3 linked regions of the Coturnix japonica genome follow. The protein of the gene in region 2 purifies or fractionates together with the protein of the main gene of each other region. This does not show direct contact. Links are inferred from orthologs where the notes say so. Each region holds a gene or a part of one and is shown on either strand. Other genes may lie near its edges. The genes, in order: SHC1, KDR and CDH5.

The links.
Region 1: the proteins of KDR (region 2) and SHC1 purify together in Homo sapiens (affinity purification with western blotting; 3 studies listed by BioGRID and IntAct, with this or other methods). This does not show direct contact. The link is inferred for Coturnix japonica from reciprocal best matches to the Homo sapiens genes KDR and SHC1.
Region 3: the proteins of KDR (region 2) and CDH5 purify together in Homo sapiens (affinity purification with western blotting; 3 studies listed by BioGRID and IntAct, with this or other methods). This does not show direct contact. The link is inferred for Coturnix japonica from reciprocal best matches to the Homo sapiens genes KDR and CDH5.

The regions. Positions count from the first base shown.
Region 1 is NC_029540.1:1,432,206-1,440,406, reverse strand, and holds the start of SHC1 (SHC-transforming protein 1), read right to left. Parts: upstream 4,850-8,201; 5' UTR 3,949-4,849; coding exon 3,346-3,948; intron 3,171-3,345; coding exon 3,100-3,170; intron 2,713-3,099; coding exon 2,649-2,712; intron 2,499-2,648; coding exon 2,379-2,498; intron 1,963-2,378; coding exon 1,909-1,962; intron 1,785-1,908; coding exon 1,733-1,784; intron 1,591-1,732; coding exon 1,464-1,590; intron 1,361-1,463; coding exon 1,192-1,360; intron 992-1,191; coding exon 931-991; intron 826-930; coding exon 658-825; intron 582-657; coding exon 319-581; intron 158-318; coding exon 29-157; 3' UTR 1-28. UniProt on the Homo sapiens protein: Signaling adapter that couples activated growth factor receptors to signaling pathways. Participates in a signaling cascade initiated by activated KIT and KITLG/SCF.
Region 2 is NC_029519.1:58,814,611-58,822,711, reverse strand, and holds part of KDR (vascular endothelial growth factor receptor 2), read right to left. Parts: intron 7,658-8,101; coding exon 7,511-7,657; intron 7,240-7,510; coding exon 7,108-7,239; intron 5,889-7,107; coding exon 5,782-5,888; intron 5,374-5,781; coding exon 5,238-5,373; intron 4,983-5,237; coding exon 4,878-4,982; intron 4,082-4,877; coding exon 3,968-4,081; intron 2,816-3,967; coding exon 2,727-2,815; intron 1,173-2,726; coding exon 1,016-1,172; intron 1-1,015. UniProt on the Homo sapiens protein: Tyrosine-protein kinase that acts as a cell-surface receptor for VEGFA, VEGFC and VEGFD. Plays an essential role in the regulation of angiogenesis, vascular development, vascular permeability, and embryonic hematopoiesis.
Region 3 is NC_029526.1:10,020,020-10,028,120, reverse strand, and holds part of CDH5 (cadherin-5), read left to right. Parts: intron 1-2,176; coding exon 2,177-2,465; intron 2,466-2,555; coding exon 2,556-2,672; intron 2,673-3,609; coding exon 3,610-3,774; intron 3,775-4,180; coding exon 4,181-4,368; intron 4,369-6,034; coding exon 6,035-6,288; intron 6,289-7,372; coding exon 7,373-7,515; intron 7,516-8,101. UniProt on the Homo sapiens protein: Cadherins are calcium-dependent cell adhesion proteins. They preferentially interact with themselves in a homophilic manner in connecting cells; cadherins may thus contribute to the sorting of heterogeneous cell types.

The sequences.
Region 1 (8,201 bases), on a different chromosome or scaffold from region 2:
GGGGTGCGCACCGAGGCCCCCCTGGAGCTCACAGTCTCCTTTCCACTGGCTGCTGCAGGCACATCTCGCTGCCAGCTGAGATGATGGGCAGGTGATTGTCCATATGGTAGCTGATGAGGTGGCTGACGCTCTCAAAACGATGATCTTTTGTCCGGACCTGCAGGGAATAGGGAACTCAAGAGGCTGCAGATACACCCAGGAGTCCCCTCTATGCTTTACCAGGCCTCCTCCATCCCCTAAGCCAGCCCGGAGGTGTCCCCAAGGTGGGGTTGTGGGGAGATGTAGGGCCCCCCAAGCTTTGGGGTTATAGAGACTCACCACTCCTTCGGGGTCGACGAGCAGCAGGTGCTTGGGCTGCCCACCCTGCAGGCCGGTCAGCACGTACTGCCCCGGGGTGGTGATGCTGTCCCTCACCAGGAAATCTCCATTCACCTTCAGCAGTTTCTCAGCCTCTTTGCGGTTCATCTTCCTGTGATACCACGGTTCCCTCCTCAGCTGCTCCTCCATGGAGGCCACAACTTGGGCAGGAGGAACGGTCACGGGCACAGACTGGGGGGCACGAAGGGCATCTTCAAATGGCTCTGCAGGAGAAAAGGAAGGGGCTCCATCACACACCCAGCACAGAGTGCACAGCCTGCAGCTGCTGTCCCCACTCACTCATGTCGAAGAGGTCTCGCTGGGCGCTGCCGTTGGCTGTTGCAGGGCTGCCTGCAGCTGCTGCTTGGCGTGTCTTGTCCACGTTCTGCACGTTCACATAAGATGGGTCATCAAATAGGTCCGTACGGCCGGACGCACCCGCTGCAGGTGGGTATTTCTCTCTTCCTGCTGCACAAAGCGCTGTGGTCAGCAGCGCTCCGGCACCAGCACTTATTGCTGGAGCACTTTGGGACCAGGAAAGCCTATGGGGACCAGCCACATCCATCACATTACCTTGAGCGGGACCGTGCTGCTTCCTGGGGTCAAATTCCCCACCAGACGTCTGGCCAACAGGCTGTAGAGAGGCACATGGTGAGACCAAAAGACCTTGCTGTACTCTTACCCCTCCCCAAACCCCAGTATGGACTGCCAGAGGTGCTGGACAGAAGCGTGGTGTGGATTTTGTGCAGCCCACAGCCCCATTGGGGTCCTTGCATCTCCCCTATATAGCAGAACCTCCCCAGCAGCCCCTTGCAGACACGCTCAGCGCCTTACCAGTGTGGCCCCCAGGTGATTGGGGGTCTGCGCAGCTCCATCCCGCAGCCGCATGTCCACGACCCCCCCTATAGGAGGCTCCTTGCCAGGGAAGTCGTTGTAGTACTGGTGATCTGGGGCAGGCTCCTCCTCTTCCTCATCCCAGGCTGAACCATCAAACCCTGCCATCCTGGAAGGGAACAACACACAGCTGAACAGCTGACAGCAGCCAGGCCTGCATCCCCTCCCAGCACCAATAGACCTCATGGACCCCCATCTCTCCCTTCTCTTACCTGTCGTGGGGTGTCACCAGCTTCGGGGGGTTCTTTAGGTACTGCTTGAAGCGCAGCTCAAAGGCTTGTCCAATTGTGCTGATCACATCCTGGGCCAAGCCCTCAGGGCACTCCAGGATATGGCAGGCTGGGAAGGGAACAGCGAGATGAGAGCAGGATTAAATCCTACACCCCCTGATCCCACCCTGTGCACCCCAGAGATTCCCTGCAGGGACCCAATCCCTCTCTGAGCTGCACCCAAAATGGGGCTCTTGCAATTCCAGCCTCACCTCTCTGGTTGACGGGGTCTTTGGCAACGTAGGCGACGTACTCAGCTGTGTCCTGTGGGAGAGAGTGGTGATGAGCCAGGGCTGCTCAGTGCCCAAGACTTAGGGGAGAAGGCAGGAGAGGCTCTGATCCCCAGCACAGGGTAGGATGTGCTGGTTGGGGAACCTCTGTAACTCACCGGGTCACCCCCAGAAGCGAAGGAGATGGACTGCATGTGATGGTTGGCAATGATCTGAAAGGTAGAAGCACTGTTAGGTGCAGCTCCTCAGTGCCCACCCTAGCACTGGCCCAGTGTGGGGATAACAAACTTCAGGAGCCCTGGTTATGAGCCATAGGCAACCAGAGGAAGGGCTGAGACACCAGCAGAGCTACTGAGACTAAAAGACATCCAAGGCTGAGGGACTTGGGTCTCAAGGTCCAGAGCACAGATCCCACAAGGCATTCAGGGCATTGCTCAGATCCCTTTGCTACCAGGAATGGATGGGGTGGAACATGCTGGACCAGGAGATGAGCACTCAGCAGGAAACACAGATAAACCACACATCCCCAGGGAGAATGGGAACACCCCCAGCAGGGCCTGAAGGGGATGCATGGATCTCTGCTTGTTTGAAGGCAGCAGTGCAGCCCACAGCAGCTTCCCTCTCTCACCTGCTTACAGTCAGAGGCCATGAGGTTGAGGCTGCTGGTGGAGATGGTCAGGGTGATGGGCATGCCGGCGAACTTCAGGTTGCTCTTGCCCAGGATGGAGTTCAGAGAGCGGCCACAGGGCTGGGGGAGAACAGCAGCATTAGGCAACTCATCACCACCACCACTCCATGCTGAGCCATGGGGGCAATCAGAGCCCCTAAGCACTGCTGGCTGGGTTGAGATCCAGCCCTCAAATTGCTCCCATCAGCAGCTTCCCAAGTCCAGCCTCACCTTCCTCCTCCTCACTGCTCCCTTGGCACCAGGTACAGCCTCACACACCAGGCCAATGGCCTCCCTGCATGGAGCAAAGCAAAGCGTCAGCCTGGGGGTCCCTGTTGTCCCCTCCTGCATCAGCACAGGGACAAAGCTCTGCTATCAATGCCATATTTATGGGGCACCGCTGGGCAGAGGACACGAGGAGCAGTGCAGAAGGGACAGGGTTAAGCATGGAACAAAAGGGAAGCCCTCAGGCAGTGCAGGCTGATTCCCAGACCCGGCAGGGACAGGGGAAGAGCGAGCTGTTAATATTTGATGCAGCTGCAGGAGTGCTTCCTGCCTGACCGAGCTCATTGACAGGCTCATCGATCTCCTGGCAGTTTCCTCCATGGCTGCAGACAGCCTGGTTCCACTTCCACACCCACCCTGGGCAGCCCCAAGCCCCCAACACAACCCCAGGGCTCACCTGGTGACCTGAGTCCTTGTGTTGAAATCCAAAGCCCTCATGGACTGAAGGACTTCTACGCAGCCCATGTACTATGGAGGAGAGCAGGGTCAGCATCGGGCTTGGCTCGCTTTGACTCCCCCACCTCCCCATGGCAGCCCATAAGCAAAGAGGGGACAGGTCCCCACACTGTGCTGTTCACCTCCACCCACAACGAGCCCCCCCCCAAAGCCCACTCCCACCCCATAGAGACACCCCAGCACTCACCCTGACATGGTAGGAGACCCCAGGCCCCATGACTTTATCATCTGGGTGCAGCCAGCCCCGCGTGGGCTTATTGACAAAGCTGCCGTGGCGGGTCCATTCATCACCACCCAGCTGGCCGCCTTCCACCCGCGTCCTCTTCGCACAGCTCAGCTTGTTCATATCCTGGGAACAGACAGTGACAGGTCCTACTGAGTTAGTGCTGGCTGTTCCCCCTGGTGTCGGTGTGAGCGTCCCGGTTAGGACGGGTTGCCCTGAGCTCCCAGTATCTTTAAGGCTGCCGGTCGATGAGCCCCGTAGGCTGAGCAGGTTGGCGGGGTTGGAGAGCTTCAGGTTGGCCATTTTAGGGAAGAAAGAGCAGAGGGTGGTGGGGCTGTCCTCAGATTCGGATGAGAGCTCCCCGAGAGGCAGCATGGGGCTGAGGGAGGAGGATGACAGCGAGCCAGGCAGTGACCGAATGCCTTCAAGGGATTCCACAGGGGACACTGGGGTCCCCAAGGCTCCCACAGCCTCCTCCAGGGAGGAGACAGACTCGTTCCGCAGGTGGCTGTATTTGCTCTTCTGCAGGAGATCCATTGTGGAAAGAGGAGAGAAGGGCTGGAGCATGCCCACCCCTCACAGCAACCCCATAGAGCGCCTACAGCCTCCTGGAGTCCTCCCCCATGTACAGGTTAAGGTTGAACTCCATGCCAGGCACCCTCCAGCCCCTCATGGCTCACGAGGAGAACCAGCTCCACGCAGTCCCAGCAGATCGATAGCAACCAGCGTCAGCGATCCGGATAGATGGGCAGCAAGCCCCGCTCCCGGTGCACCCGGTGATGGGGGGGTCTCAGCACACCCAGCACACAGCTGGGAGGTCCTCAAGCCCCACTGCCCCTCTCTGCACCCACGACGAATCCCATTGTCTTCAGCAGGGGCTCAGCATGGCCCCTTTTGCCCCATAAACGAGTCCCAAACCGCTGCCCCTCCGGCTTGCTCTCCAGCCCCTGCTCTCTCCTCCTCGCAAGCGGTTGCCAGCAGCTCAGAGGAAATGAAAAGCATGAATATTTAAAGCCCTGAGACAAGGCAGCCACAGAGCACGGCCGAGCCCTGCCCAGCCTTGCTCAGAGCACGGTCCAGAAGCGAACAAGGTCCTTCTGTAGCAGCCGGTGCTACGCGAGCCACGTGCCGACAGCGAGAAGATGCTGTTGGCTCTCCGGGATCGATGGGGTGGGGAGCGACGCCTGAAGCCAAAGGGGGAACGCGATGCCAGAGGGATGCAGGGATGTCCAGCACAGCTCCAGGATGGTACAGGAGGAGGAGAGCGGCCAAAAGGAGGATACAGGTGGGTGTAAAGAGGGAGAAGCCGGGCTCAGCTGTGGAGCCGCCGGGAGCCGATGATGGTTGTTGCTTCCCGCATCCCGGCTCCTCCCGGAGGGGAAGAAGGGGCTGCCGCTGATCGGAAGGGCTGTGCTGACTCACAGGCGGAGGAGAAGGATCTGCTGTGCTGTGAGGGGATGGGGAAGCAACGCAGGAGGGGCTCAGAGGGAGGGGTGGGGACCCGGCGAGGATCTGGAGCAGAAAAATCAAGGTCACGGGCGGAGCTAGAGGGAGCTGGGGAAAAGCCAGAGCGTGTTGATGGCGCCAGGGTAAATCTCACCCATTTCCAAAGCTAGGAGAAACCCCAGTTTTCTAATGGGGGGCAATGGGGCAAGTCTGCCCCCTCCTCGTTCCTTCCCACCTGATGCAAACCAGCAATGGGGACCTCAGAGATCCCCCTTCAGCCCTTTGGAATAAGCTTTAAGGCCCCTTCTAACCCAAGCTGTTCCATGCTTCTCCTACCCCCCTCCCCCCCAACAAAGGGGGTCTCTGGGCCCCTCTGACCCACCTGCAGGCCAGGGCACCCCCATAGAACCCTACACCGAGCTGAACTCAAGGCAAATCCAGCCCAAGGGAAGGGCTCATCCAGCTCAGCCCCAACAGTGGAACCTCCTGCCCCGCTTCCCAAACGTTGGCATGAAGCCACAGAGACAGGGAAATGGAGGCAGGGAATAGGCTGGAAATAGCTGGGATCCCACACGATGTGGGGGCTCCGATGCCAACGGGTCCCACAGCCCCATCAACCCCCACCTTGGTGCTGCAGGAACAGTCCCACGATGTGCTCTGTTACCCCCCGAGGGCCCCACGGCAGCTCAGTGCCATGACCTTCCCATGGCCAGCAGTAAGATGGATCTGAAGAAAGGCAGGAAACCCGGGGCCGGGGAGCCAGGAAGCAGAGACCCGCCAGCCCTGCTCTGCTGGGCGGCGTTGGGGAGGCTCAAGGCAGCGTGTTTGCCCCCATAGGACCTAATTGGCTTGTACATATGGGGCTGGGGGTCCCACCTGGCACAGCATCCCCTGCATAAAGGCTTGCAGGCATCTGCAAACAGGGGCTGTCTGTTACCTAAGATAAAGGGGCAAGGGGTCTTTTGGACCCCAGCCCAGATGGGAAGCAGGGAGCAGCAATTCCCGGCACACACAGTGCCCCGAGCTGTGCCCGTTTCTCACAGAGCTCTGTTTCTACAAAACAGAATCACTCTTGATTTTATCACAACCTCCTGCATTGAAAGCTGAAGCCAGACAGCTCACACACATCCCCCCCCCAACAGCACTGGCTGGGAATGAGGCACGTCAGCACAACCAGATTCAACTGCCACAGCTCCAGAGCCCACCCCAATAATCACAGCCCCTTACCCAGGGGTCACAGAGCACCAAAGGCAAAGCAAGACGTGCTCAGCCCCATAGATTCGGGTCCTGCAACCCCTAAGCAGCACCCAGCAGCCCCTTGTCTCACCAGACAGGCTGGCACTGCACTCCCAGCCCTGCAGCAGAGCAGCTCCTCATGCCTGGAAGCTGAGGCTCAACCAGATCCTGCTTATATGCAGGACACAGGGACGCCGTGTGCTTGTGGGTGACCTCGTACACAGCCAAAGGGATGAGGAACAGAGAGGGGTTGATATAGCACAGCAAACAGAGCTGTGCCCACCGCCTTGCTTTGGAGGATCCTATGTTTCCCCCCAGGCTCTGCTTGCAGCCCTGCCATCCTCCCAGGAAACACAAAGCAGGAGCTGAGTCAGAGAGCTGGAACACGCGAGTGGTTTGGCAAGTAATCGCGGCGAGGAGCACGCAGGCAACGGGGGCTGCCACACGTACACAGCTTGGCTGCATACAGAGGGCAGGAGACCCCTATGTCCTAAGATAGGGAGATGGAGCCTGTCCCGTGCCCTGTCCTCCTGCAGCACGGCATGGAGAGCAAAGAGAAAGGCTGAGAGCCAGCCAAGAGCTGGATTTTCCCTTCAACACCACTACAACAACGTCACATGGCGGCGATGCTTTCCTGTCTGCAACCTCTCTGAACGTCCCAGCAGCCTCCTTGGAATGGGGGCAGGGGAAAACCAGCAGAGGAGGCCTGGAATTGAGGCTGGCCCTGGTGGTGAAGGGGGAAGGGGGGAGGCAGGATCCGCCACCGAAGCCAACTAACCCTTCCACCGAAGTCCCGAGCGCTGGCCGGCCTTACCACGTACTCCATCGCCGGTGGAGGGCAGGGAACAAACACTCAGCCCTTCTGGTCTGGCAGCCCAACCTGCGGTTCAGGGACAAACAGTGAGTTAGCCAGCCCTACAGAGCAGGGCTTCTCACTGAATGCAGGTAGATAGGGGCAAAGAGACCAGGGCATAGCTCCTTCTTAACATCCCTGTGCTGGGAAGGATGGTGTTGGGATGCTGAGAGCACGGGGATAAGCTGGAGTCAGGGCTCAGATCTTGCCTGCAGGCAAATGGTGTCGGCAACCACCTGTTGGCTGTACCCTGAAGCAAAAGGACCTCGATTACAGTCACTCTGTGACCTGAAATAAGCACCAGTGCCCTGTAGATGTCAGGACCCAAAAATAGAGGGCAAGAAAGGAGAGAGAAGAGGTGCTCAGACATAGAGGAGCACTCTGCTCCTGCCCACACCACCACCCCCCCCCCCAAGGCTGGCACCTACTGCCATAAAGGACACACAAAGTCCCCAGGGAGGAGCCAGGATGTGGCCGCAGGAGCGTGTGAAACGGATCCTGGTGTTAAGGAAGGAGAGGTGGAAAAGGGGCCACGGAAGGGCAGACGTGAGCAGAGCCAGGAGGGGCAGGAAGCTCTGAGAGAAGGGCAGCGGTGAAAGGAAAACACAGCCAGCAAAGCAGGAGCACAATGAGAACCCCTGCCCTCCCCAGCCAACACTGCGCCGCTCCCACCCTCACCATGGAGCCGCTCGGGGCCGGGTCAGTCAAGCAGATCAGGCCAACAAACACGATTTACTTCCTTGCAGCAATCATAAGTCCTTATCTGGGGCCTGCAAAGCCAACGCCGGAGCCCAGGCGGGCGCTAATGAGATTAGCCCAGGGGGCAGTGAGATAAGAGGGGCTGTTTGGCAGCCGCAGCCCCATCCTGGGCAGGGCCAGGCAATGAGCAACAGCAGCAGGTCACTGACTGCAGAGGAAGTGCAGAAATGACGAGGCCCTTTGGACTCTGGGGCTGAGGTTAGAGGACAGCACTGTGCTAAAAGCCAGCAGGAGGGGAAGGGGATGGGTTTGAACGGCCACAATGCTGTGCTCATTGTACACAGCCATAAAACAGCCATAAGTGAGTGGCATTGCATTGCATAGCCAGGTAATACAGGGCCCTCCTGGTGAGGCTGCAGCACCAGCAGGGCCATAACCTGACCTCAGCATGGCCTCCACAGCACCCAGTTGCAGCCCCTGATGCCCAAGGGTGCTGCTTTAGGTTCTCCCTACCCCAAAGGGTCGCAGTGTGGTTGCAAAGCTGCTTATCCCCAACTCTTTGCTCTGATAGGAAGTGGCAGCACAG
Region 2 (8,101 bases):
TAAACCTAACCTCATCTTCTAGTAACCCTGAGGAATAACATACTTAAGTATCCAATGAAGATACCTCAACACTTAGTTCCTGCTGATAGAAGTATTCCAAGTTCCTCACAGAGCTCTAGATTTTTAGAAGAAATCTGCCACAAACTACAACTCCGTTGACTAAACCCCTCATCTCAAGGCCTACTTTAGGCCTAGACACTTCTACAACATTTCAGCTCAAAGACTCAGTGTTCACTCCAGAGATGTCTGCAAAGGACCATAGTGGTGTAGAAGTGCATAATGAAGATGGCCTGACATTACTTATTAAGATCAAATTTAACAGCAAAAACAATCTCACTATTAATATACTGATATTTTTCTTTGCATTGCATGATTTTCAAGTATCAGTCAAGACATGGAGAGTTGAGCTATGGCTTCCCCCTTTAGTAGTCTGATCCCACTACTTTCTGAAGTGAGCGCTCCCTGAAACACTTGGGCAGCACTGAGCACTCTGCACTACTGCTGCCAAAAGAGAAGATGGCAAATGTGGAACTGTTGAAGAGGGTATGTATAACCAAGGGAGGCTTTGAATGAGCGGAAAATTCAGGTTTCCTGTTCCTGGTGGACCACCTGCACACAGGGAAGGCAAACCAACTTCTCCGAGAATAAGCAGCAAAGCAGATGGTTTTTCATGATATTTAACTTCTGGGTAAACATTGAGGAAATTCATTTAGCTTTCTGGTGCATCCTCTTTGCTCTGCCTTTGGAAGTTGTGTCCTCTGATTTTTCCTGAAGACACTGGGATGCTAAATAGGCAGATCTCCAGAATGCAGTGCACTAAAAAATTCATCCCTTCTAACCTGGAATGGGAATGGGCTGAGGGTTCTGGAATGTTGAACTGCCATGCTCCACAGCTCAACAAATTTTTGTCATCCAAGAAATATTTTGCACACAGCTTTGAGGGAGATTTGGAAAACACCCCTTCCCTGATGCCCCTCATCAGCCTCTTCCAAAACCAGGAGAAAACATATCCTACCATCCTCCTCTTCCACGTCGCTCAGGGACCGCTCTTCCACAAACCCAGAACTTGTGGAGCTCTGGCTGCTTGTGATGCTGTCCAACCGTTGCTTCAGGTCTGTGGAGATGTCCCCAGTGTAGTTCTCCTTACCTTGCCGAAACCTGGCACTTTTCGTCTGAAAAGGACAGAGAAAGTGGGAGAAATCAGAAACAGAAATTGTAGAAAGATTCTCCAAGAGAGGCAACAAAGTTCTCTATAGCCCACATCATGAGCCCCCTCACAGCACCACACAGCCTGCTCCCATGGTCTCCCAGCTGCCCCTCACTGCCAGCTCAACACTGTTTAGAAGAAACCTATTTGGACAAGTATCAGGAATCTGGCTTTCACAGCCTCCTACCAAGTCCCTGTCCCCTCCAATCACAAAGCAAATGTGCTGCTGAATCTCCTACTGCATCACTATTGCATTAATTTCTGTTGCTGCAAAAACCATTTGACTAAACTTCTACACCTGTGCCAAAACCCTAGCTGCCCTCAAAATCTGATTGATCACCTTCTACCAGAGAGCCACCAAATTACCCTGGATAAGATCCCAGACCTGCAGACTTGCTCCACTACTGTTCCATTTTCTCAGTCTGGTTCAGTCTGGTTACTTTGCTCCCATGGCAGTGCTGTATTTTCCTGTTGCTGATTCCCATCCCTATTATTTTGGTGAGCAAGGATCATCACTCTTGTGAAACCTTGCCTCTTTCCTCGAGTTCCCTTAGATGTTTATCTTTTTTACCTCGCAAAAGGATGCAGCGAACTGCCTTTGCCAATATGAAATAGTAAACAATGACTCCAAGGATGAAGAAAAATAACGCTCTGGAGAACTGACAAACAAATTAAAGAAGCTCTGATCTGAACACAGCAACTGCAAGAAGACTGAAGAACAGATCTATCAGCGCTGCAGAGCACTGAGCGGCCTTTCTCTTGGCTGTGGGCAAAAAAGGGTAGAGTCTCAGGCATGTTTCCAGAATTGGGCACCTACAGCCATGCTCTTCAGCTGGCATCTGACCCTCGGAGTGGATGAATGCTGCATCCCTTCCCAGAAATCAGACCTCCTTGCAGAGGTGTACAGAAACGACCTCGGAAATGCCAACCTCCATCCTCCCCCTTCTTTAAAGCAGGATGCAAATATGAAGTGTTGTGATGAGAGCTCTTCTTTGTAAATGATTTGGAAGGTGAAAAACTCAGCAAAAAATTCATGGGATGCATCATTTATACAACACGATTAACAGCACAAAATGTGGGTAGTCTGGTTCAGCAATGAGGCAAGAGGAAAGTGGAAAGGATAATTACACAATAAAAGATATGTATGGATATGATGGATATATACACTAAGCAGGGAGTGCAGTTATTTAAGGTGGTCTGGAGCCTAACTAAGAAAGGAAAAAATTCAGGCTGATAATCAGAAAAAAACTTCCTGACAGATACAGCCAAGTGTAGAACAATCTGCCAAGGGAAATACTGGAAGCCCAGTTCCTTTGCACATTTTAAGCTAACAATAACAAAATAGCAACATTTCAGGGGCCAGGGGAAAAACCAGATGACCTCTGATGTCTTTGTCATCTCTCATTCCCATGAGAAGCAATGAATAGCCAGTATCCTCAAGAACTGCCACGGCATTCTCGCTAAGAAACAGACAAATTGTGTGTGGAAATTAAACACCAAATCAAACACTATACTGCACCTTGTATGGGATAAATTCACTCCTCTTGCTCCGTAGATATGCCGAGAGATTTCCAAACTTGCAGTATTCCACAATCACCATGAGTGGGCCTGCATAACATACAAAGCAATTATTTAGTGTGATCTTCTCCTCTTTTGTCCAGTGGAAGATTAATAATTGCCCTGCTTTTGATTGAAGCTTTTTATTACTAGTACCTTCAAATACTCTGAGAAAGTAGTAAAATGGTTTTTGAAATGCTGTTTTTCTAACCACAGATCATGCTGCAAGATAAGGTGGATGTATATACATGACCTAGTGGGAGGTGTCACTGCCTCTATAGGTAGGGGGGCTGGAACTAGATGACCTTAAAGGTCCCTTCCAACCCAAACCATTCTATGATTCTGTGATTCTAGGATTCTATAAATGTCTGGGTAGTTTAAGCCCTAACAACTTAAATCAGGAACTCAGTTTCAAATACAGATGCTTTAATCTACAATCAAAATGCGGTATTTTGTGCTCCTATAAGCATTTATTACAATGACAGATTTCCACCCTAAGTTCCAAATATTGCACATATCAATTTTGTTGCGGAATAATCAAATAAAGAAATATTTATGGATTATGTTTCCTTCAACTACTGCACTTTTTTCATGGAACTTTACAAATTAAATTCTGATCACACGGTAAATCAACAGTTCAGCTTTCCTGAAAAATTATTACTGACTTACTCCACACTGAATTTCTTCCAAATTAGCATTCAGTGCTGAATTTGCTAAATGAAACATCTGTCCTAGATTATAAAGTCAAGTAGGTTCATGCACCCAGAGCTGTACTTCAAAATGCAACCTCCCCTCCCACTCACACACAGATACACCCACCCCCTGTCCAAAGCCAAGGAGGGAAGCCATAACTTGCAGTTGCACTGTAGCTGGTGGCAAGAATAAGACCAATTTGTGAAATCTCCTACTAGACTCATACCCAGACCCGGTTATATGCAAGGCATCCACTGTGAAAGTGGATATGAGGTACTGAAAAGTGAAGTGAGAGAACAGGAGTGTTGAAGGCTTCACAAAATTGAACAAGAGATGGAGCTGTACATACTACACAGGGCTTTGAGCTCTTATCCCATCTCTGGATCTGCTACATTTACCAGGAATTGAAAAAACAAACAAACAAAGAAAGGGGGGCAATTTCTTCTAACCTTAATTTTGAAACCCAATAATCAAGGCAGTAGAAATGGCAGAAACTGAGAAGTTACTCACCTCCTGGCTTTGTGCAGGCTCCAAGCAAATTGACAACATTGAGATGATGACCAATGTGAATGAGGATCTTCAGCTCGGACATAAGTGCTCTGTGCTCACTGTGAGTTGCACCCTCTGCAGAGGTAAAACAATAAAGATCAGGAGCATCACAGACAGAAAGGTTCTCCTCCTCTCTACCTTCTCCACCATTATTTTTCCATCTTCTTTAGTGAGAAGTCTTGTTGGCTGGCATCCTGCATCCTGGATCAGCTCTGCTGTAGGACACTGATGGAAATTAGCCATACACACTACAAGGTTGGCTTTGCTCTACTTTTGAGCAAAATTTGCCAAGGGCAGCATATTAGACCAGAGACACCAACGATATTGTCAAATACCCTTTTTTCCCCACAGAGCTTTTGAACAACTTCTACTCTGCCATTTGACCCCAGCAGCCAGCCCATGCAGCTGACTACAGCTAGAAGCTCTGCAACTGCTCATACTGCACAGTCAGAAACCTGCCTGCTTTCCCATCCACCTCCATCACAGCAGAGGGTGGGATACAGCCCCTGGATGCAGGGAACCCTATTTTCTTGTATCAGCTTCTCATAACTGCTCGTCATTTTGGAACATGTCTAAAGCCTGTAGAGAGCCACCCAGTCAGGCTGCATCCAGAAAATATGGACACTTGAAAACATTTATCTTATTAATGTGGGTAAGTCTAAAAAGCAATGGCTATAAAACCACAGTTGTGTTACTCCAATTACTGATAAGGCAAAGGTATGTGTTTACACCAACTGTTAAGATAAATTTTAATACACTATTGGTATGAGTGCTTTGATTGTTTTTGGTTCATTTTTATCTTTGCTGGTCACAAGATTGGCAATATCCATATATAGTGCATTCAAGGTGAAGTCTTAGTTGTATTTTTTACCTTTAAGCATTTTGACTGCCACAGTTCTGCAGGTAGCAGTTTTGTCAATCCCAAAGGCATCAGCTTCTATGACTTGGCCAAAAGCTCCACGCCCAAGAGGTTTACCTTGAAGTGAGAAGAACAGACTGATTAATTTGCCTGGTACAGTGGTGAAAAGATACAGAATAAACAGCAAACTGAATTTCTATATGAGAAATTAACAGAGGACTGACAGTGGGGAGAGGTTGTATTAGATCCTGTGGGAGTTTGGAGCGCTCCCAGCAGGCTGTGCATCAGGGCAGTCCCATTACCACCCTGAAGCCCCTTCTAGTGCAAGGCTGGCTGCAGGGTCATATAATGCTCTGTGCAGGGAAGACACACCTAGCTTCAGTCGGTCTCTGGGAAACTCCCACTTGCTGGCATCATAAGGCAGCCGCTCGCAGTGCTCATCTAAGGGGACTTCATCAGGATCCATGATGATTGACAAGTACCCAGTCTTCATGTCACCTCCATTGGCCTGGAAAAATGGTATTAGTTGTAAATGCATAGGTTTTTTGGTGGAGATATTGCAAAGTGCCAGTTTCTCGCTCTGAAGTGCTCTGCCATTTCCCAGAAATGCCTGGCTACCATTCCCCTACACAAAGTCACTGGGAGTGCGATCATCAGTAATTACTTGCACTTTTTCTTTTCTTTTTTTAAATAAACAAAAACAGCTGAAGAACTTTTTCTCTCACGAAGGCCTGTTCAATTAAAACCAAATTTCTGTGCCCTCAGTTCCAGGCAAGAATGTTACAGCATGGAGAGAAAAATATGTGTCTGTTGATTTAAGAACAATGGAAAGAAACAACACAATAGGATTCGAGTCAGCTTTCATTTGTCATGCAAGACCAGTGCTGATAGGACAGTACAAGAATTTTTTCATTACCCGCTTAACGGTCCGAAGGATGATTACAAGAAGCAACCAGAAGAACATGGCAATCACTGCAGTGCCAACAAGGATAATGAGCTCCAGATTTGTTTTCTCTTCAGCGCCTGGGAAGAAATAAATGAATATCTGAGTGATAGCTGGAAGCGTATTGGTTTTGTTCATTTATTTAATCGCAGAATGGAGGTTCTTGTTCTGAAGGTTTGTTTTTAAAGTGCAACATGGAGCAAGGAAAGCAAAATGAAACAAAAAGCTTGAGTTTAATGTTAGAATGTTTTGCTTATTTCAGTCACACAATTTCTTAGCATCAGTTTTGTTCCATGGGCAGAATCTGGATAATTAGCAACCAATACAAAGTGAAATTTCATATTTTAAAAGTAAATGATTGTGTCAGAGCACCCCAAATGAAAAATTATGTATTAAGAAATAGTAAATAACGTGCTGAGAATAACCCAGAGAGCACTCTCTCACACATCTCTATTCATGCTTCAACTGGGTCATAAAAAATGTGGTTCTACAGCAACATGTAGAAATGAGGACTTAAAACAATACTTGAATATCTAATGTGAGCAGTAGCTCTCTTTTCTTCCGTTCCCATTCTGCACATCATGGTCTTGAGTGTCACCCTTTGTACCACACACATTTTCCTACACAGTAGCACACTCCATTTCGTGATCCCAGTGAGCTGTACTATACATTATTTGAAGAGAAGCACTATGCAACACACAGATTTCTGACTTTTACAGGCCTTTAAGACATGCCTCAGCTACATTTACCAACTCAGCTGAAATTAACATCAGCTACAGATAACATCCCACATAAATGTTATTGCCCTTAATACATATTAGTATCCTAATGAGAGCTGTGAAAATACAGGATAGTACTTTAATTGCCCTAACGTAATAGAAAATCATCCTCATTTATAAGACAGAGATCAGTGAATTATTCAGTAACTACTTTTCACAAATATACTAGTATCAAACACAATGAGCTTTTTACTTGAAGGTTTCTACTTGCGGAATCCTAACCCTTGATGCAAAGTCCATCACAGTTCCAGTTACTCAGACTGGAGTCTAACCTCTTATTAGGTTTAATTATTTCCTACCGCACCCTGCATTTTGGTGGGCTACAAATGAGAAATGGGTCTCACAAACAATTTTGAGCTTGGTAAACAAAGCCTGGAGTTTCCAAACCCCAAAACACTACCTGTTTCTATCAAGAAAATGGGACAACAGTCACAACATTGTGCACAAAGACTTCACTCTTTTTCCTATTTTGATGATGATAACAAGTTCATGCACAAACTGGAAATAAGCAGATACTGACCTTGCACTGAAAAAAAAGCCTCTGCTTTTTTGCATCCAAGAATATTGCAGGCAAGGCAGGTGTACAGCCCTCCGTCTTCTTTCCTAACTCTACGTATAGTTAGAGTTTTGTTTCCATCTTTCAAAACAATTCCTAGGAAAAAATAAAAATCATTGTACTCAGTTCGGTAGTTCTTATGTTGGTTTGTGATAACAATGCAAAATGAAACCTTGAGATTAAAATTAATTGGTGTCTGGATAGGTATCTACGAGATATAGTGTAGTGGTTTTCTGTAGGTATAGTAAAGGGAGGACTGTTGGACTGGATGTTCTTGTAGGTCCTTTCCAACCTTGTGATTCTATGATTCTATGGAAAGCCAGCCCTTAAGTGACAGAAAATCCATAACAAAAGAAAAGTTCCTCACCTGAATCTTCAAAAAGTGTTTCACTATTTTTAAACCATGTGATGTTTGGAGGAGGAACGCCATTTACTGTGCATGACACTTCTATGGTTTCACCAATGTTGGTTGTTTGATTTTCCAGATTTCCCACAAGCGTGGGTGCCAGGGGCTCTGTTGGTATGGAAACAAGGTTAAATCAATGGGTTTTCAAAAGCACCTAGTTTTGCAGTAACAGCTGATGATGATGCACTACATATTTGACTCAGTAATGAAGTCTCAATTTTTTCAATAAAATCAATTGCTACAGAATTCAAATTAAAATCATAGTTAATCTTCCACATGACACAAGACTATCAGAGTATCTGAGAAAATTTTAGCAGCTTTGTATCATTTACTTTGTAACTACTCGGGCTACAGTGCAAAGGGGGATAGGTGAGAAATTGCTTCCCTCACACTTCTGTGTCTTGCTCATTAGGAGAATGCTGACATTGCCTGTCCATCAAGCATTCATTCAAGACAGCCAATAAACATGCGTAGGCATTTTCCTGAATCAACGCCACAGTTGCTTAACGAGACCAGACATCTAGGCCCTCAAACAAAGTCATCATTATTTGT
Region 3 (8,101 bases), on a different chromosome or scaffold from region 2:
TAAACGGCAAATAGAAATGGGACTGATGTAGTAACATTACAATCCTAAAATGAGGGCAGAGTGAATCAAGAGCAGCATCAAAGGAATTATAATTCTTCTAAAGAATACAGATAAATTTTAGAGAATGGCAAGCATGGAGCATCTGCAGTGAAGAAACAACTGCACTGCATGCAGGTGCAGAGTAAGGAAGAAGGTCTGGCAGCTGATGAATATCAGTGTTTTTCTGGTTGCTCTTTCAAAAACCTGGGAGATCAGCTAATAAAAACATACGTATTAAAGACCACATAGCTTACATCCCTCAGCACAGGCACAAAAATAAAGTGCACTTTAGGAGTACTGTTACACAATCAAAAATTTGTTTCACAAAGTGAAGGAAAACAGTTTTTGAAAGTAATAACAAGCATTGACCTGACCACAAACTCATTTTCTTCAGGGCAATGCTCATAAAATCCTGTGATTAACTGCACATCACCCAGATAAAGTTCTCCCAGTCTAGTCTTTCAAATTGAACTACTTTGACACTTCTCGGATAAATGCAGTTCTACATTTTCCTTCCATGTGCAACAATCAGTGTCTGTCAAGGCTGTTATGGTAAAGTGAAACAGACCTTTCTGGATCAGTGCTGCTCATTGGCAGAAAGCACGAGAGAGAGAAAAGAGGCCACCGGGTACTCAGCTACCACAGGATATCTCTGTTTCATTTCAGACCAATTCAGCAGCAGATTGAGAGAGTTTTTATTCCTGGTGCTGTCCTAAATAAGAGTAATTCACTTTGTACTGTGCTCTGTGGTCTTTCAAAAGCGGAATGTGTCTGATTACTTTTGCAGTGACTGTGTACAGTGCATTGCATTTGCAGGATTGAACACTTGATAAATCCTTTTAAAAGGCCACAGCATCAGCATGGCCAAACCGAGCGACAGATGCAGGAATATGCTGATACATCTGGATTTTATCTTTGATGACCTTGGAGGCTTCAATTTGCATGTCCATCCTTAGATTTAGCAAAGGCAACCTTGGAAGCTGTACCTTTCATACCAAATAAGTAAATAGAAATTAAGAAAGAAGACAAAGGCTGTACTATCTTTGAGACAAGGGTGAGATTCTTTCTCCTGTTACAACTCCAGAGTCACGAGCTGTTGTTCAGCAGCACCAGCAGTTAGAAGCATGATTAAATGTGTGGAATGAGGAAAGAGAATTTTAATAGCACATTTCAAAATAAAAAACATAAATGAAAGAATGTTCAACAGTAAATGACAACTACGGGATAAATCAAATCCTGAATACCAAACAGCTGCAATTTATGATAATGTCAGTAACAAAAGACTAGAAAATCTTTGTCAAACCCAACAATTATTGATAAATAGCTTGCTGAAACAAGAATGCTGATATAGTGCACAGAAAATTGTGTTCTAAACTTTATAGCAGCGTTCTTAGAGGAGCGTAGATAGGAAAGAATCATCAGATTATGTCCAGATTAAAAGAAATAATAATGTACAAAACCACCTGGGACTGGATTAAATTACACATAAAAACAGACTCATTTTACCTTTCACCCCACCCTTTTTCATACAATACAATCTTAAATTTGAAACTCTGTGGAGTGAAAACTTAATTTCACTGCCATAACCATAAAGACCAACTATGAAGAAATGACACATGACTAAACACAAGAAAGCTGTCAGCCATGGCAGGAATTCTGCTAAATGGCAAACAATGGAGAAAAATGCTAAATAATGTTTGTCAGTAGCTGTGAATAAGGATTTGTTTCTGTCATTCTGTGAAATCCAAGCAAAATTCCACTTAGAATTCTGCTACATTCCAAAGATAATTTGCCAACAAGTGTAGCTCCATGTAGTGGTACCTACATTTCTGACACAATGAGGCTGACAGTTTTTATCTGTAACTGCATGAACAATTTATATCTTTAGGAAATATAAGGCATAACCTTAAAATAAAACATTCCTGATATATAAGCAAACAGGTTTCAGTCTGGATGCACGTTTTATCCTATTCTGCATTGCTGGTTTGTCCAGTAATATGCCAGCTGTCATCAAAATTCCCAATGGTTTCAAACTGAGTCTGAATAAGAGGTCATGTTTATGTGTATCTTCTGGTAGAAACTGTTTTATATTCCAAAGCCACAGCTCACTTTTATCTCTTTGAAATATACTTTCTAGCTCACGTCGAGTGCAGGGAACAAGAATGCTATGTATATTATTGAAGGTGAATCTGCCAACACCATCTTTAAAGTGCAAGGGTTTGACGGCGACATATATGCTTTTGAGAGGCTGGACAGAGAAAAGAAAGCAGAGTATGAGCTGACAGCACACATTATTGACAGAAGAAACAACCGATCACTGGAACCGCCATCTAAATTTATTATCAAGGTTTATGATATTAATGACAATGCTCCCATTTTTGTACAAAAGGTATTCAATGGATCTGTCCCAGAAATGTCACGATTAGGTAAGGTTCTTCCATTACTCGTTTTCAATTCTTTCCTTGGCTAAAAAGCAGAATTTATACTAAATGTGGTGTTCAATAATCCTTTTCTAGGAACCGCAGTTACCAAAGTGACAGCTGAAGATGCTGATGACCCAACGGTTGCAGGTCATGCCACAGTTACCTACCAAATCATTAAAGGAAATGAATATTTCACAGTTGATGATTCTGGTAGGTCAGATATGCAAGTGTCAAATGTTGACCTTATGCTTTCAGGAAAATACAATTTTAAGCCATCTTCTTTCAGGACAAGGGAGATAATTACGCCAAGAATTTAGTTTCAACTGTAATTTGGAAAGATTTTACACTCACACTAACACAGTGTCACTGTCTACATCTAAAAATGAACCAATAAAGGCATGATTGTAGGTACCAAGAGGTAAATGACATGATCAGGTCAGGTGATCCCTACTGATTAAGAGATCAACTAGGAGCCAATATAACTCTATGTTTTCAGTTCAGCACACATATCATTCCTTTGACCAAACTGATAAAAGAGGAATAAATTAAGAAATAGCACTCCTAAAGAATAGCTGACAAAACCTCTTAAAAAGCAAATGGCAGATGGTAATTACAACACCAAAAAATGCCCTACAGCTTTGCAGACTTGGCACAGGAGGGATGGGTTACCCACTCCTTAAGTTAGCAGAAACCTGGAGCAAGTCAGTATATACAAACAATGCATCTTATTAGGCTGATTTTGAAAGTTTGTTTCTGGTTTCTAATCAGTAACTCAAACCTTTGCTTTCCTAAACTTTTTTTGTTTAAAGTTTGTCCAGATAAAGAAATAAACTCATTATCTCTCGTAAGCTGGTTCTCTGGAGCAACTAAAGCAGATAAGGAGGTGATCAGACATGCACTCCAGGCGCTGTAGTGACCAAGCTTAGACATTATCAGCTGGTTTCTGAGCAGCAAAGACAAGTTTAAAGAAATTTACTGTACAAAATGTCCTGAATATTTCATCATTTCTAATAGTTTTAGCCTTAGAAAAATATAACCATAAAACTGCTACTTAAAGGCAAATGTGTCATAAGGTAAAAACTCGCTCTCAAAATTAAGACATGAAAGTGTTACAAAATCTAATCATATTCAATATTATTTTTTAAAGGTGTGATTTCCACAGCCAGAGCTGATTTGGACAGAGAGACTCAATCAACATATGAAATTATTGTTAAAGCAAAAGATGCTCTAGGGCTTACCGGGGAGTCAAGCACAGCTACAGTCGTTATCAGGTTAACAGATATCAATGACAACTTCCCAGTATTCAAACGCCGTAAGTATACTGTCAGGGAAGCATCATTTAGAAACCATGAGCTGACATGAATGAAAGAAATTTACATTAGGCATCACAATTCAATTTTCCTTTAAAGTGAACAAAAGATTCTTACATATTCAGACGCCTTTCTGCTTTTCAGCACTGGCTTCATTTCCTGGTAGGAGTATATCTAGAGCAGAAAGTAAAAATCAGTATTAACTTTGGTAACTTTATAAAGAAACCTGACAATTTCAAGAAGTAATTAAAAAGAAACATTTAAGTACTGTCTGTAGAGACTAATAACACTGAATTCTCAATCATTCTCTGTGTCTATCTATGAACCAAGAAAAAACTTTAAGTTCTAACTTGTTCCATGTGCACCGTCATTATGACCCCATTGTTGCTTTGTGTTTTTTTTAAACAGCATCATTTCACTTTAAAGTTCCTGAAAACGTTTCAGTAGGAGGAGAAGTCGGCCGAGTCGAAGTTGAAGATATTGATGAACCACAACACAGACATACAAAATACATTTTTGTCAGAGGAGATTACAGGGACACCTTCGAAATTGTAGCAAATCCATTCACCAATGAAGGAATCATCAGACCAAAGAAGGTACTTTTCCCAGAAACAAAGAAAAATATGATTTTGTTTTTCCACATTTAACAAATGTTTGATTCGGTGTGGGGCCAGCAGCAGGAAAAAATGGAAATGCATGAAAGCCACAGCACAAAAGGTATTCAACCTGAACACCTCATTCTGTAAGCCCTGAGAGGAGAGCAGGCGATTTACCAGCCTATTTCACCTGCCAAAACTGGGAAAATCTGAGATTGCTGCAGAGTGCAAAGGGGATATTTGGATGCTCCTAACAGTCTGTGAATGCAGCAGTTGAGTTGACCAAGTCAAAGAATCAAATCTTTCTATTCTGCAGCCAAAGGGAAACCAGAGCAGGAATGTAAATGCGTACACCTGACCCCCCCTCTAGAAGTGCTCTTTGCCATCTAGCATTGCTCCCTCCTGAGCCACATCCTGCTTCCCTGTCTCACCTCTGAGCACTGAAAGCTTCCCAACTACTGCCTGGTAACTCTTACTTAAAAGGACGCAGGCTCTCCCAAACCTCTAATATGGCTTGCTCTTTGTTTTTTAATTCTCAAACCTACTTAATTTGCACCAAGAAACATTCCTGCACTATACAGGGCACTTCCAAGCCTAAATTTCATTGATTTCATTGATATATGGTGAAAAAAAAAAAAAAAAAAGATGTAAGACTATAAATTACTGTGAGTAATACTCAGATTGACATGAGTTTGTGGCTTTTTTTTTAACTTCCAAGCATCTCTATGTAGCGATCAGTATTAGAGATACTACTGAGATGGGAAAATTCCATATAGAAAAAAGCAACAAATATCCTGAGACTGGCAAATCCTTCAGCAGTGGCCACACTGTGCCAGCAGCTTTCCTTCACCAAACACATGTCCCCTGTTACCACAGGGCCTGAGACATGTGATGCTATCAGCCTGTGCCAAAGAGCAGCAGCAGCAGCAGAGATCTCACACACACACTGCCAGAGGCAGAGACAGCCCAGCCTTCACCAAGCAGTGGGCAAAATTTGCCCCAGTATCTTGCAGCACGCTGTCAGGCACGCATGTACATCAGAGTTTTAAACATACAGTCAGGTGAGATACAGTTTCAACTGATAAAAAAGCACTGTCATTTCCACGTGCAATGTCTATTCAAACAAAAACACAGTCACCATGATTAACTACAGCATATTTCACAGTGTGTTTATAATCTTGGGTGACAGGGAACAGGGATCCAAGCTTTGAAACACATGATAGCAGGGGCATTTCTTACCACTCTAGCTCTTGACCTTCCTTCCATTGTGGGATTCCATCTGTAATCAGTTATGGTGAAAGTAAGGAAGCAAATATCATTTATCATCAGATTCACCAGCTATGGAGTCTGCCCTGAATGAAAGGACAGGAGAATCTAGTACTTGACCCAGGGAAATAGGAACTAAACAATTTTGGTATCTACAGAATCATAGAACAAAATTACTCCTTGCAGAACTTTGAATGCTGAATGAATCTGTTCAAAACCTGAGGTTGCTCCAGCCAGTCCATTTATGAAAGGGAAGTTCAGCTGGATATGCATTCCCCAGAGTCTTGTCAAAGTGCGGTTCACTAGTATCTCCCAACAACAGCACAGACCTTTACTTTGCAGAGTTAGCTAATTTTGCCTAGCCATCACCAAAAAATATCTATGTTTCTCTTTCTTCTAGCCCCTGGACTTCGAGAAAGTAGCAGAGTACAGGTTTGACATCGAAGCAACAGATCAGAACGTTAACACTGCCTACTACAAACCTGGTGGCTCCAAGAGCATTTCAACAATTACCATTGAAGTTACAGATGTAGATGAGCCTCCTGTCTTCGCCAAACATCAGTATGAATTTAAAGTACGGGAGAATGATCCTGAAATAAAAACACTCGGCTCCGTTCAGGCGTATGACCCCGACGCAGCTAAACGGGAAATCAGGTAACGCAACACCAGCCTTAGTGGTTCTATTTTTAAGTAGAGAATTTGCTAATGATTCCAAGAATTTGATGGAGTATTGAGACACTGACCTGATTTTTCAGACATTTGCAAGCAAAAGAAAAAATCCAATCTGACTTTTCAGCCACTGCAACTATGGATATATACAACAACCAAGAAACACGAACATGTTACTTATACACATGAATTCATGAATAAAACATTTCTACATTTAAATACATAATCTTGGATATTTTCCCACGGTTACAATAATCTACTGTTTATTGCAACAACTTTCTTGAGTATGTGCTTTGTAAGGAAAAGAAAATAGACTTCTTAAAACAGTGAAAGCCCATAATCTGGGAACCTTGCAGAGGGATATGTTATGCTCTCACAGCTTGCATAAATTTAGGGAAATGTTCTGAGGCTCCATAGAATCATAGAATCACAAGGTTGGAAAGGACCTACAAGCTCATGTAGTCCAACCATCCTTACATTAGTATTGCTACCACAAGCTGCTAAACCACATCTCATAGCTTCTCATCCAGACACCTCTCGAACACTGCCAGGAACGGGAACTCCACCACCTCCCTGGGCAGCCATTCCAGTGCCTGGCCGTTCTCTGAGAGAAAAACTGTTTCCTTATCTCTGATCTAAACCTCTTCGGGTACAACTTGCAGCCATTTCCTTGGGTCCTGTTTGTTGCCTGGGAGAAGAGGCCAAGCCTGTCCTCATCACAACCTCCCTTCAGGACGTTGTAGAGTGAAATGAGGTCTCCCCCGAACCTCCTCTTCTCCAGACCAAACAATCCCAGCTCATTCAGCCGCTCTTGATAAGACCTGTGCTCCAGACCCTTCACCAGTTTCATCACCCTTCTCTGGACACGTTCCAGAGCCTCAATGTCTTTCTCAAAATAAAGGGCCCAAAACTGAACACAGTACTCAAGGTGCAGCCTCACCAGTATCCCTGGTCTTAACATAAATGTAATTTTTTATAAAACTACTCTCTGGCCTTTTCCTATGAAGAACTGAAGTGAAACACAATATTGTAACTCCTGTATTGATGCACCTCTTTTTAAATAACACAGATTTGTTCGACGAAGAGCTAGTCCTAATGGAGACTATGTTAGAGTATCTGCTTCTGGAATTATTCAACTTCCTAAGCCTCTAGATAGAGAATTCAGTTCTTCATACAACATCACTGTGGCAGCCCAGGAAGTCCTGGAGGATGGTAAGTGCTACTATTTCCTTACTTGAAAGAAATCAGTGGGTGCCTTTACAGCTGGACTGTGCCTTATCAGGAAGGAAAGCCACAACCTGACAGCTTCCTTCCACTAAGCTACAAATGAAATGGATGCTTGCAGGGTTTGCACAGCAATCTTCCAAATCAAATGAGTACCTACAAATAGATCAAACACTTTTAAGACTTGGCCCCTTTCTATCACAGAAATACTTTCAGCTTGTCTAAAGGAATGACAGAGTCATGAGGAGAGGAAGAAGCTTGGGGAACAGACAGAAAACTCTATTTGCAACAAAAGTATCCGAGCCAGTTTCCCCATTCACACAGAGCTACAGAACGTGCCCACCAAGCTCCCCAAATATTTATACATGGCTCCACTGGGTTTAGGAAGAGGAGTGGGCTGGAGCAGTTCCCAGTTGGATTGGAAGGGGCCAGACTCTTCTGCTAAGTGAAGGATATTGAATAGTACTGGGCACTCCGTGCCTGTGGCCTTAGAGCCAGGGAACAAGGGATACCACAATCACAGAGAATAAGGAATCTGAGAGCCATAATGAATTGTCATTTTCTTCTTCAAAGC